2 linked regions of the Lepisosteus oculatus genome follow. The protein of the gene in region 1 purifies or fractionates together with the protein of each later gene. This does not show direct contact. Links are inferred from orthologs where the notes say so. Each region holds a gene or a part of one and is shown on either strand. Other genes may lie near its edges.

Region 1 (7,661 bases):
CTCGCGAACAGTTAATTCAACTCATTTCTGCTTCCCAAAGAGTTAAGCCTATTACATTTTCTTCATAACAGCCACATTCACCAGCCTGCATCTGGAATTGCGAACCGACTTTAAAAAGCCGAAAAAGACTTTGGATAATCAGACTGTGGTGGAAAGAGGTTTTCAGGCCATAATTTTCCTGTAAAACACTCATTTGTGTTGTCTTGGTTACCCGTTGAGACAGGCCAAACAACAGCTTGCTCTCCCTAAGTGTTGTGGGAGAGCCAGAGGAATGCATGGGAAATGAATCACTGTACAGGCAGCCTCACGGCCCCTTTCAGTCACAGACCGGCTGCCCAGCGAGAGGTGGAAACGCTGAAGTCACTGCCTGCAGCTCAGTGCTGGTTCCTCACCAGACCATCCCTCAAACTGTGCACCTAGGGGCTTTCTGCTGTCTGCACAAAGAGAGCTCCATTCTCCCCTGCATCGGAGAAGAGTGCATACACCCCAACTGTACTGCTGGAATACACTGAGAAACAATGAAAGGGCTTTGTGGTTCCTGTTCCGAGTTCCTACAATTTGTTTGAACAAAGAAAAAAAGAGACAAGACTACTCAAATACGCACACCCGCGGAGAAATAAACAAGACCCAACACTGAGATGCAGTGTCTTCTGTGTTTGCTTGGCAATTACAGAAAATGGTTTTTCCCCACATTTATTGAATCCTCGAATTATTGTAAAAAAACGATAACAGTTCCTTCACTTTCTAAATATCATACACTAATAATTTTTTGTTTAAAAAAAAACTAAAAAAAGCTGAGCACTACAACACAGAGCTAATAACAATATCTAAAAAAAACCTTAGATAAATTGACATATACTGGGTATCATTGCAGATATTGGGTATGGATTATGTACTGAATATATACATATTCATCATGGTTATAGTTTCCCACTAAATGCAGATCTCCACATGTATAAATACTCCTAATGTAGTTTTTGTCTTGAAAGTATAATATTTATACTGAAAAATAACAGTAAAACAAAATGCCCTACCAAAGTAAAATACTCTGCTATTTCTTGCCCTATAAATCTTTTGTTCTTGAGGCACTCTAGCACTATAGAGGCGTTCTGTTTCTCACACTGCAGTGAAAACCACCAACGAGCTCCATATTTGACCACTTTCTTTTGCAGAATGGCATCCTCAGACGAATCTTAAACATTTGTCTGAACCTGCTAATCTTACAGTATATAATCGACATCACCAGTTTACCGCCTGTTGAGGCTGCAGACACTCATTCTGGCGCGAAAATAACTTGATCCTTCAGGGTTCCCCCTCCACCAGGGAACCCACCAGCATTCCTCACATTCCACCACGGTCAAAACTTGTCCGTCCATTCCTCGACGCACTTTAAACTCACTGGTCGACTGGTCTCAGGCTGGCTTAACCTACTAACAATAAGGCTCTTCAGTTTGTGCAGCGCCCAATCTCAAGATAAACACCCTATATACATTTTAATGTAACTAGCAGGTACATTAAAATTAAAAAGGGCAACTTCAATAGCTTTCACTTACTATATATTAGTCTATATTCATATATGACATTCTAGAGGAGGCATTTAGGTTATATATATACATGTGTGTGTAAAATCAAAACATGAAAATCTACCAGATTTAATAGCTGACTAAAATGCGAGGTTATCTCAACGTTATCCAAGCCAAATTCGTCTTCCCTTCCATAATCAGCCGGCCGCCCTGTAGAGGGCGATAGATCTAATCGAGGGGAAACAAAAACTGCAATAAAGGTTCAAAAACGGAACAAAAATCACAACGGGGCCGGTTGAACCCGTTTAAAAACCTAACAAAAAATCTAAATGAACGAATCCCGACTTCTGTTTCTTCGTTCAAACGTTTCTGAAGAGCTGTAGTTGTAAAGATACCATTCAAACGAGAACGCGAACTCCTCTTGCAAATGGATACGCCTAGTTTTTCGTTGAAAGTTTATGCTACAAAATGCTTCTGCATCTCTTTTGACGTTATAAAGGAAACTTAAACTGCCAAACTGAATTCGGACACCCTATATATAGTTGCATATAAAAGACAACATAACCCCGGAGGTGGGGTGGAGACTGAATGCGACAAACTGAATCTGGTGATCGTCAAGTGCCACACCAGCAGCGCCGATATCTAGGGCTACAGCGTTGGAGATGCCAACGTTTTTAACCCTGAAAAGACGATCTTGTTTTAACGGAAACGGGGACAGCTGAGGACATAATCCCTCTCCCGACGGATGCAGTGCGTATCCTTCCCAAGAAAACGTTTTAAAAAAAAAACCCAACAACCCCCTGTCTTAACCGATATTCCTTTTGACAGCTGAAGACCAAGCTGAATCAGCGACTTGCCGAGAAATGTTTCACCGCCTGCGCAACAACGTTGCGGGCAAACATTTCTGTTTGTTTCTTTTTTTTTTTATTACAATGTATCCCGTACCTCTTTGAGCTGGTCGAGCTCCTGTCGGACGGTCTCGTACTCGGCTTCCAGGTCGTCATACTGCTGCTTCAGCTGCTGCTTCTCCTCCAGCACCGCCAGCCCGTACTCGGCAGCCTGGATCTTCTCCCGGGTCGTCTCGCTCAGCTCCCGGGACAGCCGCTCCACCTCCGCCCGGAGCCACTGCGGTCCGGCGTCCGGCACCACCACCGACCCGGGATACTCGTCCACGGACATCTTGATCTCGGCTGGCCGGCGGCACACGCAAGCGGGGTGGGGATCTAAAAGCAGTGAGCAGAGAAGCTTGAACCGGATCCCTCGCCTCTGGAAGGACCGCAAACGCCCCTTCTGATTTTAAAAAAAGGGGGTTTTAAAGTCTTCTGCGTTTGAACTGCATGTTTGCTCTCCTTCCCTAGCAGTTGCTGTATTTCAGCCCTTCCGCTTTTTTTGTTTCATACGCGAAAACCAGCCCTTTTTTTTCTTCTTCCCCCCAGACCGTTATACTGGTCTCTTTTAAATCTAGTTCATGGTTGCGGCTTCTGGTGCCCTGAGCTTCTCCTCCTGCTCAGTTAATACTGATGGGAGGGGGGGCTGCGGACTGTCGTGAAGTCATCCCCTGGGATGCGCTCCAAGGGAGCGTTGGCGCATACCGGGAGATGCAGTGCTCTTGTCGGCTGTAACTACAGCGCGACGGGTCAAAAGAACTCCAACTCCCATGATCCACTGCTAGTTTGTACATGTGGACAGCTCACTCGCTGCCAGAAGCTGTAACGCTCGCTTTGACTACTATATGGAATATGTGGAGGGCGGCAGAAGCCCGAAGAGTGAGCGGTAGCGCCACCTTCAGGTTAAAAAAAAAAACGGATATTTTATACCGCTGTCTGCATTTACAGGCAGGCCCGGTCAGAGATGAGCTACGGTGCGTGGAAAACTGCATTTGGGAATTGGTATTTAGAGTCCTTCGGTAGTATTAAGTCGTTAAACCTGATTGCATTCGAGCGTGTGTTCAATGACAAGGAAACGATTTTATTATCGGTTACAGTTTTGTAAATGAACATAACGAATACCGATTTGTCTTATTGAGCTCTTCATTATAAATATATCAAATGTATTGTATTTAACCTATACCTTGCATATTACGAAAGCAGACCAAAAGTAGATTATGTCAACGAGGGTAAATCAGTACTTCGTAATGTATCTGACGAAGGTTTGCGTTCGAGATCTTGTACACGTTTGACTTCGAAACCACAGAGTTTAAAGAATTATCTTTCACGTTTCCACTACTACAAGGATTTAAATTATGCACTGCCAGTAGAACGTCATTAACTGTGATGTGGTGTAGTATCATAATAATTAATTGCATTGTATGTCGTGTTTTCATCCCAAAGGATCCCAAAGCACTTTACACATAAGAGGGGACTCACTTTGGCACCTGGATGCCATTATCTGCCACTATACCGCAGGTCAGTTGAAGAAGTGAGAAGTTACTTGTAAAATCCCTGAGCGCGATTTAATTTGAATCCCAGGGTGAACAACACCCGTACTCTTACAAACAGCGCCCAGTGATCCTTAATGACCACGTATCTAAGACTACCGTCTTACATCTCAGCAGCAGGATGACACTTGTTACTGCAGTTCTGACACGTGGGAATTGATGGTACAATCCCTTAGAGATGGGGAGCGCACCACTGTTTCTTGCCTTAATCGTGAGTCTTGAGGCGGGGGCTGGGGGCGACATGTCTTTGGGGTTTCAGTGGGCACCTTCCATCATCAGTGCATTGTCTATGAGCCCACAACATCTCCAGAAGTCTCCACAGTGGTTCTGGCGTCCCAGACCCACCCCCAACCCCCTCTCTATGCCTGCCCAGCCTTTTTTTTTACTGTTTACTTGGGGGGCCTGCAGGGGTCACTGGTCTTCAGGCAGAGACAAGTTCCTGGTCACCATACTGTGGGCTCTCATTTGGAAATTCTGGTCTAGAGAGGAAAGAGCACCACCTAGTGGTCCACCAACATTTTATTCTGCTAGATTCCCATTCTTGCAACTCCAGGATGTTGTACAATGTCATTTGGCTGAACAACTTACATAGTGCCTCTAAGCAAGTTACCTCTCTCAGTTTGCTCCATTAAATAACCTCAGAGGAAAATTGGTACATTCCAATTTGAGTCCCATCATTGTAAATTATTTGGTTAAATAAATTGGGATCTGACCTTGCTCGTCACTAGCAGGATAAGAAACTACAAATTTGGATACCGCTCTTCAGAAAATATAGCATCAGGCCGAGTGAAAGCGAAAAAGGAGAATATTCTTTTTCTTTTGTAATTTGGTGAGAACACAAACCTTAGACTGATACAGTACATCGACTTTGAAAACTGAAGGTCTTTTGTTATGTTTAAAAAGCAAAAGGAAATATTCTGCCAGTGCTGGGTAAAAGTCTGATTCAAACAAGTCGATGATTACATTTCCTTAACCAAAATTAAATAGATCCACCCACTGTAGAAGAAGCAAGAATACTCTGATTAAATCTAAACACTCCACTGCAAGACACTGCTTTCCTATAACATAAACATGTTTTCTGAACTCTCATCATTCTGATATAACTACTGTTATGGCTATGAAACTATGAGATATAGCAGCCTTATATTGTACATTCATATACATGGCATATATCATGAGATATCCTGTACAGTTATTGTTTCCCTTTTCCCACAGTAGTCACAGATGTATTTGCTTTTTGTAAGTTGATGTCTGTGTTTGCTGAAGATTGCCATTCTTGTATTTCTGACAGCTGCGTTTTCTGAGTCTCCCTTTGCAGTCTGTCAGCTTTGCTTCATTATTCGGGTTCTTCCCAGTCAGATGTCATGACATGCCAAAATTTGCTACTACAGAAATATCCAAGACATGCAGCTGTGGTTCTCCAGAAGTCTGTATTCTGAGCAGCAGCTGCAGTCCTTTCTTTGCCAAAATACCTAGCTGTTCATCAGATATTTCAACCAGAGCCACCCCCACACATCGCCACCCTCATATTGTGACGATATTGTGAAAACCATTTAGAAACACATATATTATGAAGTAAATATTTAGAATCATACACATACCGTATTAGTAAAATGAGAAAGACACACGTAAATGTTTTCAACGATCGAATGGGTAAGACTATGGGGGATATTTGCAACGCAATCAATGAAAAAACTGCTGAAAAGTGTAGGTCTGATAATTAGCATAAATCAAGAATATGCAAATCATAAATCAAGGACAAACTGCGCTGTAGCTGTATTGTAATTATGCATTCTTTTAACCCTCCCTGCTTCCCAATTAAGTTCATAAACCCCAGCTTGAGGGCTCACAGCAATTTACATTTTAAGATTTATCTAAACAAACATCATGAATGTATAACAGACTAAACATATCCAAGCAGGGCTGATATGGAGTGGTACATAGCGTGTGATCTGGAAGGCATTGTGTGGGACCAAGAGAAAAGATGTACATGGATGGGTAAAATTGATAATGCAGAGTGGAAAATTGTAACATACTCTGCATAAGATTCTACAGATGGTGCCCAGAGCTCTTTGCCTCAGTGAGTTCATCCAATTCACGTTTTAATTATTTTTCTCCCATTTTAATTATTTTCTCCCATGTGTGGGTGTTGGCAGACAGCAGTTTTCTGAATGGCTGCTCAATATTTAAAGCATAGATTTTGGAAGTGCTCATCAGTTGTTTCAGGTGGATATAATACATATAAATTGTAAATAAGTAGATATGGTATTGTGAAACGCCGAGAGCAGTATATGCTGACAGAAAATCAAGTCTGCTGCCGTCTGCCAGAGGAAAAATGTCCTGACAGAGGACGTGCAGTACACTGGGCAGCATATGGCATGCAAACAGTCACAACCACACCTCAGTGTGAGTGAAGCTTCTATAGATCAGTGCCTTTACCTGCTTAAGTGGCAGGTAAGAAAAGCATTTTAATGACTGCTGTACTTGCATTTTTACATTTTTTCCTCAACTAAATGCCGCACTTAGTAAGCAGTGTTTGTAGTTCTATATGTGTTTGCAAGACGTGCATCCCATACAGTAAACATAACATAAATAAAATGTAAAGTAAGGGAACGGTTTACATGGGTGTAATGTAAGTGTAATTGTATTCCTCAAACATATAATATACTTTTACAATTCATCAAAGTTAACTGTCCGATGTCCGATGGGTTGTGGCAGGTTTCATGGAGCTGTAGGTAACTTGAAAACAGGTAAGGGACTGCTGAAAAACTAAAGCAATTTGTTTCTTTGAAACAGGAAACATGCACACACCCATCATCACTTGAGGAAAGCAGCAGTGTGGAGTACTGGTTGGTGCTCCAGACCAGAGGACTGTGGGTTCAGTTGCTGCTTTCAAGGCCCTGCTGTATATACAGGTCTCCAGGTCGTCACTGAAAATGAGTGTTTGTTCTCAACTAACTTAGTTCTAGGTTTAAAAAAAATTAGATAGATTTAAAAAAAGAAAATAATTTTAAACCTTTCTTTATGTAATAAAATACATGAAACACTTAATAACTCATAGATTCTGTCACAAAGCATGAGTTGGTATAGTATGTCCTGCCTTTCACCTAGAGGCTGTGTGATAATGGATTCTCTGGACCTGTTTTCTGTTCCTGGTTACACGTCATGTATTTTGCTGTGAATTAAACATCATGACCATTTAAAACCTCGTTTATCACTGTATGCACCAATTACTACACTACATAGCGTATGAGTTATGAACAACAAAGTATATGTATTATTGCTTGTTTGATGTGGGGGTTCCAACCACATTAAAATAAAACACAAACCACAGTTTAGCCCAAGCCTTCATGATGTTTGGTGTCCAAAATGTCCCAGTTGTTCATTTGGGTAAATGTCAAAGAAAGATATTGTTCTTATTTAATTAACGATGCACTAAATCCTTAATACGTTGTCAAGTCAAGTCAATAGCTTTAGCAGTTTGACCCTTTCCCTTACAAAAAAATAAAGACTGGGACTATGTAGGGAAAAGCAAACTCATCCATCAGTGAAAGACATCTACTGATGAAGATCTCTTCTATGCACTGTAGTTCTTCCTGGCATACTGCATGTAATGCCAGAGAATCTGAAATAAATGAAGAAAATGTGAAAGGCCTTCAGAATGTGGTGTGAAAACTGTTTTATGTACCTAGGTGTTGGGT
Region 2 (7,791 bases), on another chromosome or scaffold:
CCTGAGCTTTTCAAATGCTATCCATAATCATCATTTTGACCCTCATAGAGTAGAGCTGATCTGTTCACTTTGGAAATAAATGTTTATCTTCAAGTGAGCTTTAAATCTACTTTTAAATCCACAGTCTTTATAATTCATCTCACATTGTTTACCACTATGTTTGATCTCTTGTACCTTAAAATTAGTTTCACGTTTCAAAGTTTCATTTCACTAGAACTTAAAATTAAAACATAGAACTGCCAATTAAGGGAGCCACTGTTGCATTTCCTACATAATTGTGAACCAGAGCCCTATTGCCGAGAATTGCTTGGTCTGAAACTGAAATATTTAATGTCATGGAAATAAATGTTTTAAAAAAAAACAAGAAATCAAAGAAAAAAAGAAAAGAAAAAAATAACCACTAAAGGAGTTTAAAATAATCAAACAAAATCTTTATTTTTAATCACAGTAAATAAAACATCACAAAACCTTCTGTTCAAAAATTAATATATTCCAGGAACAGTACAATGGAGTTTTCCGTTAGCTCACAAAATTATTCTGATTGTTCGGTTCATTTATCATTTGAGAATTGTAGCACCCATCCTAATTATCAGCTAATCCTAGAGCTAGGAATCTGTCTCTGGAGATACAGAAGACAAATACATATATATGCTGTATATCCAAAAGCTTAGTTTTACCAATACTTACTTCCCCATATATTAAGCATCTCATGATATTTCAGTTTAAATATAATCTTATCCTGATTAACTTGCGTCTGTATTATTCACACCATCTTTAATACAAAATCAGCTAAAAATGAAAGTAACAAAAAAACATATGCTTCTGCTTGACATGTTAAGTCATATGATGTCATCATAAGAACGTACTGTATGGTGAACAAGGCTGCAGAAATATTAAGGCCACCAATGGTCCCAAACCCAAACCTTTCTGACAGACAAAAATCACGAAACAATCCAGGCACATTAATGAAACATAGATCTGAAACAGAAAAGAAAACAAACTTAAAACACACAAAACAATTGTGATAAATACAAAAAAAAGGTAAATACAGAACATAAAATATAGAAAATATAAAACAAAAACTTAATACCATCAGTTGAAAACATATACTGTAGGTCTACTCAGCACATGGTCCTTCTTCACCTGAAGTCTAGCCCAGCTACTTTGGCATCTGTGTTGTAGAAGATCTACAGTATAATGAGTGAGGGGTCTCACTCTTACTCACCATGGAAACGGCCATGGCCGGTTGTAGGAAACTGGAGTCGCTGGGAAAACGTGTGAACATGGGAAGAACATGCAACCTCCACCCAGAATGACCACAGCCCAGAATCAAACCCAGGGCTCTGAGGTAGCAGTGCTATCCTCTACACTACACTATATATTTAGATATATGTTAATGTAAATATGTACTGTAGAAGTATTCTTACATATATTTACCAGATATACAGTACTTCTGTACATTTACACAAACTAGACATTAAGCAGACAGAAGCAAAGGAAAACAGACTAAAACACTGTGTAACACAAGCTGTCTGGTAGTACTATATGTACTGCAGTAGTGCTTTTATGCACTGGGTGGATGAGAAGTGCAATTCTGGCACAGTGAGCAGGTCTTACAGACTAACTGTGTTAAGGGGGAAATTTCTGCAAAGATTTGTCATTGACAAGCCCACACATGCATGCCACAGAAGGCTTCATCTCTGGTCAAAGGCCAAGAAGGGCACTGTTAGAATCCCTGACTCTCTTTGGTATGATGTGTGCTGCTGACTGGCCAAAGATGGTGATCAGAAAAAGCAGTATAAATTCTGCCTAATGTCAATAGGGGTCTCAAGTGTGGCTCAGACAAGTCTTTGCCAATACTCACCTGTCCTAAGACACAATAATTGCTCTGGATGAAAGACATTACAGCTCTGCCATGTCACTGGACACACAAAACCGGTCCTTGCGAAAGAGTCCCAATAATCCCAGAACTGGATCCCAGTGAGATCTGTGCTAGACCAGCTAGGCCCACAGACCAGTGGATTGCTGATCTCATCTACAAAATACTGAACTAACATCTTGATGCACTAAAAAAGTCAAAAGGTGGCATCACATAGTAACAACCCTATTCATTATTATGTTGTAATGACTGTACAGGCAGATAATAAAACACTATTCTGCCGAGAGTCTCCATACTTCCGTCAAATTTGTTACTACATGTATGTTAATTACATCCATCATACTGATACCATACATAATTAGTAAGTCAATAAATACGCATACTGCAAGAAAGAAATAAACGACCTACTGTTTTGCTCCGTCATTTCATTTTAATGCTTCTATTATGTACGAGACGCTTTCCTTCAAAACATTAATATCTACATACAATACGAAAATGAATCGTATTAGGTCAAAAATAAAACAACCTAGCTGGGCTCACCACCAGTGATGTGCAGCGTTTTCCCTGCCGTACTGCATGAAAAGGAAATAAAAACATTCAGAAAGGGGAAAAAAAAACAACAGAAAAAAGCAACAGAAAAATGAAATGACACGGCATTCAGAACAACGCAGGCTCACGCGTATTTAAAATGCATGTCGTACCTTCTTGTCTGTATTCGCCCCTCTAGATGGTTTTTCAGAAAACTGCTGTATCACCGCAGCCCGCAACTGCCGGCCTGACTCCCTGCAAGTGACAGCAATTCTGAACGTGTCGTAGCTGCAAAAAAAAAACCCTGTTGTTTAAAATCCCACTCGAAAAGAAGAAACTAGAACGCACTAAAAAAATGCACCTACGCGGCTCCGATCTCCCCTCCTAAGTGTATCACTACACTATCTGATGTACTTCCTTTCCTTCTCTCAACCGGTGGGATACGCAGGAAATCCCACCTTCTGTCCCGACAATGAATGATGTCAATCCCTGGAATAATTCTGCAGCAGATGCGGCTTGTTATTTGAATTGCATCGTTAAAATGGCGTTCAGACGAAGAAAGCCGAGACGAATACATGAGAACACCGGTTTGTATTCAGACTTGAATCTAAAAATATTAACCACGGTACACTGCATATTTTATTCTGCATATTTTATGCCTGCATCAGATTTGTCCTAATGTAATGTAGTACAAAATACAAGCTTCCATTCAACATTTTTCGATAGCATGATTACAGACGCACTGTACCATCAATAGTGGATACACTGAATGTATCAGATTAATGTCTTACTGATTTGAAATTATAGATAATACTCACTGATTAGAATTTGTGTAGAAATCCCCAAGAATGTCTCCTTAAATGCCTTATATAATTTAAAGATTAAAATTAGCATTTGAGGGCAACAGGATAACTGATTCTAGTACAGTATTTAAAATGGTCAAAGGAACAGACAGAGACCTGAGCAGAATCATTTGTTCAAAGCCCAACCAAGGGAAAGTGCATTTTATGCTGAGCAAGAGGCCTTTTTCTAACACAAATGGCGGTGGGAGTCAGGAGCAAGTTTCTCACCCACGATGCCGAAGAAATGGCTGGATGGGATTCCTCAGATCAATAGGTCACAAAAAAACACATACTGTAGGCTAGATGGGCTCACTCTGTGGTCTGTGTGGATCCTAATGCCCCAGTATAGTGACGGGCATACTATACTGTAAAAGGGTGCCATCCTTTGGATGAGACATAAAACTGAGGGCCTAACTCGTTAAAAAACAAAAAAAAGTAGGGATGTTAATCCTGTGTCCTGACCAAATGTCTCATTGGCCTTTACCAATTGTGGCCTCCTAGTAACCCCCATCTCTGAACTGGCTTCATCACTCTGTTCTCCTCCCCACTGAGAGCTGGTGTGTGGTGATCGTACTGGTGCACTATGACTGCCGTCGCATCAGCCAGGTGGGGCTGCACACTGGTGGTGGTGGAGGGGAGCCCCTGTTACCTGTATAGGGCTTTGAGTGGAGTGTCTGGAAAAGTGCTACAGTATTTAAGTGTAAGGAATATTATTATTATGAACCCTAGAACGAGCACACACCTATTCGAGGGGGGTAGGGAGGTGGGAATGTGTGTAGTGGAGCAAAACTCATTTGGCTGATTGACGTCCGGTGACTGGGGCTACTGTGTCAGATAGGAGGGGATAAACACAGTCACTCCTCCTGTCTCTGAGGAGTCGAAGGGACATGCAGGTGCTGGAAGCATGTTTGTCTCATGAGCTCGCTGTCCTTTCTGGTACAAAAATGCATGTACAGTCTGTACAGTAGCTGCCCGGTTTGTCTCACTGGGAGATGACAGCCACATTGACACACTCTGCTGTTAAAGCTTAGATTATTCCTCTGGGAATAACAGCACCCAAGAATTAAAGGGTATTGAAAGGCCAGGGCACGAGGAGGCTGGGACCCCTCTACAGAGTGCCCAGGTGCAGATGGGGTGGAGGAGGGATGACAGAAGACAAATGCAAAGGAGAGAAGGGGCTTAGGATTAGTATTGATAGTATTTTTTAACTCAAAGAAACGTCAGGAATGATCAAGACTCAGGACACAGGTGGCTCTGTGGCTCAGGATCGGTGCCTGTGGCTGGAAGGTTGCTGGTTTGTATCCCGCAGCCAGCAGAGGAATCCTACTTCGTTGGGCCCCTGAGCAAGGCCCTTAACCCCAACTGCTCCAGGGGCGCCGTACAATGGCTGACCCTGCGCTCTGACCCCAAGCTTCTCTCCCTGCCTGTGTGTCTGATGGAGAGCAAGCTGGGGTATGAGAAAAAGACAAAATTCCTAATACAAGAAACTGTATATGGCCAATAAAGTGATCTGATCTTATCTGAGACCGATTGGCTTGCTGCTGTCACCCCTCCCATATTTGTGTTGTAAACTCCATTTAATCTTTGCTTTCTGTCCCAACAATCTAATTTTCAAAGACCCTGCTTATTGATGTTCTACATACCGTTGTTATCTGGGGCTGTGTGGGAGCCAGAGCCTAACCTGGCAAGCCCAAGGCAGGATACACCCTGGACGGGACACCAGTCCATCACAGGCCAGACACAGACACACACACACTCACACCAGGACCGATTTCCCCAGAAGCCAATTAACCTACCAGTATACTAAAACTGGAACGATACAGAGATCGACAAGAGGTGAAAATAAAATTAAGGACACTAACTAAACAGCAGGTACAAGAGAGAAAACTACAGCATCACCACATCAAAAAAAGAAGTTTACAGGCAGCCCAAATGTGGCTGAGTGCCAGGTTCTTTTGGGGATGGTGCTGCAGGACAATTGCGCGCACTAACGAAAGTCATTCATTTCGAGGCAGTTACTGCCATTGTTCAACGAAACTCGGGACGTGAAAGTAAACAGCTCAATTTTTCTGCGGTACCCATCCCCGGGCCTCTCGGCTATTTTCAAGAGGGGTGTCCCGGCACTTGTTTGTGCCACGGCCAGCCCTCCCTATCCCTGTCATGATTGGTTTCAGGTACTGTCAGTCTCCTTGTGGTCAACCTCAGCCTGCTGTTTGTTGCTGTGAGGAAGCGTAGAGTTAACGGAAGGCTCTTGACGGGAGAATGCAGCTGAGAGACGGTTTCAGGAGCCTGTCGTGAGTTTCAAGAAGTCCAATCGCAAGACTGAAGAAAACCAACATGTTTCTTTAGTCCAGATTCTCGCGTCGCTTTTCTGTGGAAGGAACTGCTTGGCGACCCAGGGCTAAAAAAAAAAAAAACAAACCCCAACGCAAAACGGATTTACAGCAGAAGGAAGGTGCATCGCGTCCCAAAGACGACTCAGGGTCATTGGATTCGAGGCAGAAGTCAGCATGAAGTTTGCACAATTTTTAATCAAGAACGCCGCAATGGCAAATGTGCCAAAGCAAATCGAGAGATTCTGCAAGTACTCCCCTTCGCCGTTGTCAATGAAGCAATTCTTAGATTTCGGTGAGGGTTTGTTCTCTTAGGTATTATGAAGTCTTGTCGACTGCTGAGCTACCGTGCAGTTATTACTGTAATTGTAATTTACCATCTGTGGACGCACAATTCTTTCGAGTCGGAAATGTCTTTTTTTAGGCTGTTGCGCGAAGCAAGGAGAGGTCTGCTCAGTACAGACCAATTTTAACGCGACGCACAGGGGCAAATGCGTGCTTTCTCTTTTATTTCCGAATATTTTCATGAGATGTGTGTTGGAAGGATTCCTTACGAATGTCTAGGAAAATACGGAAACACTCTCGGGACACACGAGTCTCGGGTGTGCATGCTGTGTGCAGCCCGTGACAGCTGGAGCTGTTTTTCTCGTTCAAAAAAGCAACGTGTCTCCAGTTGTCCGGTCTCGGACGGAAAGGCGCTGATGATGTCTTACAATTTCCTCCCACCGTTATGCCAGTAAACACATGTTTTTATTGTTGTGGTTGTTGTTTTAAAAGAGGTCGTGGTAATGCGTGGTACTGTAGTTTACAGCGGGGTTTGTTTTCTTTTTTTTTTTTGCTTTGCGGTTCCCTTCGTCGTCTGATATTAAGCGCGCTGCCCAGCTGTTGTTTTGGTGATTCACGACGTTTTCAGCGTCTACTTTGATGCCACCCACTGTCCTGGTTAGGTTAGCGTCGGCATTCAAGCTCAAGAGCCCTTCCTGCCCGTCATTACTTTCTACTTCACGAATTACTTTTTAAACCCCCCGATACCTGCGCCAGTGACGTCATCCCTAGCGGTTACAGTGCGCGTTCTAAGAAGCCCCATCAGTTTCTAATGAGCTCCACACATGGAGCAAAGCTACAAAAACAAGGCTCCCTTTTCTCAAGATCACTGAAGGACGTTCATAGAAATCGTCGAATCTTAATGGAACTATTAAGAATAGACACCTTTGCGCTCATCGGTTTTTAATCTCGACAGTTAATCACCCCTGTACTACTGTACATTGTTGTTCCCCCTGTCGTTTCTCTAGGTTCTTCCAATGCCTGCGAGAAGACCTCTTTCGTGTTCCTGAGGCAGGAACTCCCTGTCAGATTGGCTAACATCATGAAAGAAATTGATTTCCTTCCTGACAAACTTCTGAGTACCCCATCCCTGCAGTTGCTGACCAGTTGGTAAGGAGGGATTTCGTTTTTTTTTTTAATGCATTTTGCTTGCAGCAACACTGTAGCTACTGGATTTCTCCAAACCTAATATTCGAAAACGGATTACAGCTAATTCGTTAGCGAATGCATTTCATTTAATAGCTTGCTGCTTCTTGTTAGGAACTGTTGCTTATTATTTCTGTTTTGCATTGTGGATGACTCTGCTGCTGCACAGTCATTTTAACAGAAAATGGTTCATAAGAAGGTCACTAGTGAAAGCCAGATGTCGCACTGTCATCTTTTACTAAAATGTCGTCTCTGGATCCATGCTTCTTTCTAGCTATGCACTGTGCTGAGTATAAGGTTTGAAATCAGTTACTCGGGGGAGCCCAGAGTTTCACTGCTATGGCAGAGCTAGAGTTTTGACAGCCGTAGCAACTGTATGGCTTGCAAAATGAAAGGCCCTTTTCCAAGCTTATGTTGCATCTACTGTCCATTTTAAATCCCAAAGTAATACCCTAAAAATGTAAAACAGACTTCCCTTTTCTGGCAAATGGGCAAGATGGACCCATGTTCTTGTTTGAGGCATTTCTTACAGTACATTCTGTACCTCACTATGACACATTCATTTTGCCATGATGAGTTACAGCAAGCCGTGCATGCAGGTGTGATTGTTGTATTACTCGTTTCTGCAAGGTGAGTTCATGAATAAAGGCATGGCAGTTTCATTATGTCCCCTGTCATTCAGCTGTCATTTACGAGCACTGCGGTGTAAAAAGACACCCAGAGAACATTGTCTGACTTT

What was found. Proteins that work in one complex are often made in the same cells at the same time.
Region 2: the proteins of protein bicaudal D homolog 2 (region 1) and cytoplasmic dynein 1 intermediate chain 1 purify together in Homo sapiens (affinity purification with western blotting; 4 studies listed by BioGRID and IntAct, with this or other methods). This does not show direct contact. The link is inferred for Lepisosteus oculatus from reciprocal best matches to the Homo sapiens genes BICD2 and DYNC1I1.

Annotation. Positions count from the first base shown.
Region 1 is NC_090699.1:63,445,055-63,452,715, forward strand, and holds the start of protein bicaudal D homolog 2, read right to left. Parts: upstream 3,019-7,661; 5' UTR 2,703-3,018; coding exon 2,469-2,702; intron 1-2,468. UniProt on the Homo sapiens protein: Acts as an adapter protein linking the dynein motor complex to various cargos and converts dynein from a non-processive to a highly processive motor in the presence of dynactin.
Region 2 is NC_090705.1:4,229,822-4,237,612, forward strand, and holds the start of cytoplasmic dynein 1 intermediate chain 1, read right to left. Parts: upstream 3,002-7,791; 5' UTR 2,995-3,001; coding exon of another isoform or gene 2,985-2,994; coding exon 2,866-2,984; exon of another isoform or gene 2,773-2,865; intron 2,696-2,772; coding exon 2,581-2,695; intron 2,452-2,580; coding exon 2,420-2,451; intron 1-2,419. Other genes in the region: pdk4 (pyruvate dehydrogenase kinase, isozyme 4), read left to right, coding at 5,760-5,877, 6,875-7,016. UniProt on the Homo sapiens protein: Acts as one of several non-catalytic accessory components of the cytoplasmic dynein 1 complex that are thought to be involved in linking dynein to cargos and to adapter proteins that regulate dynein function.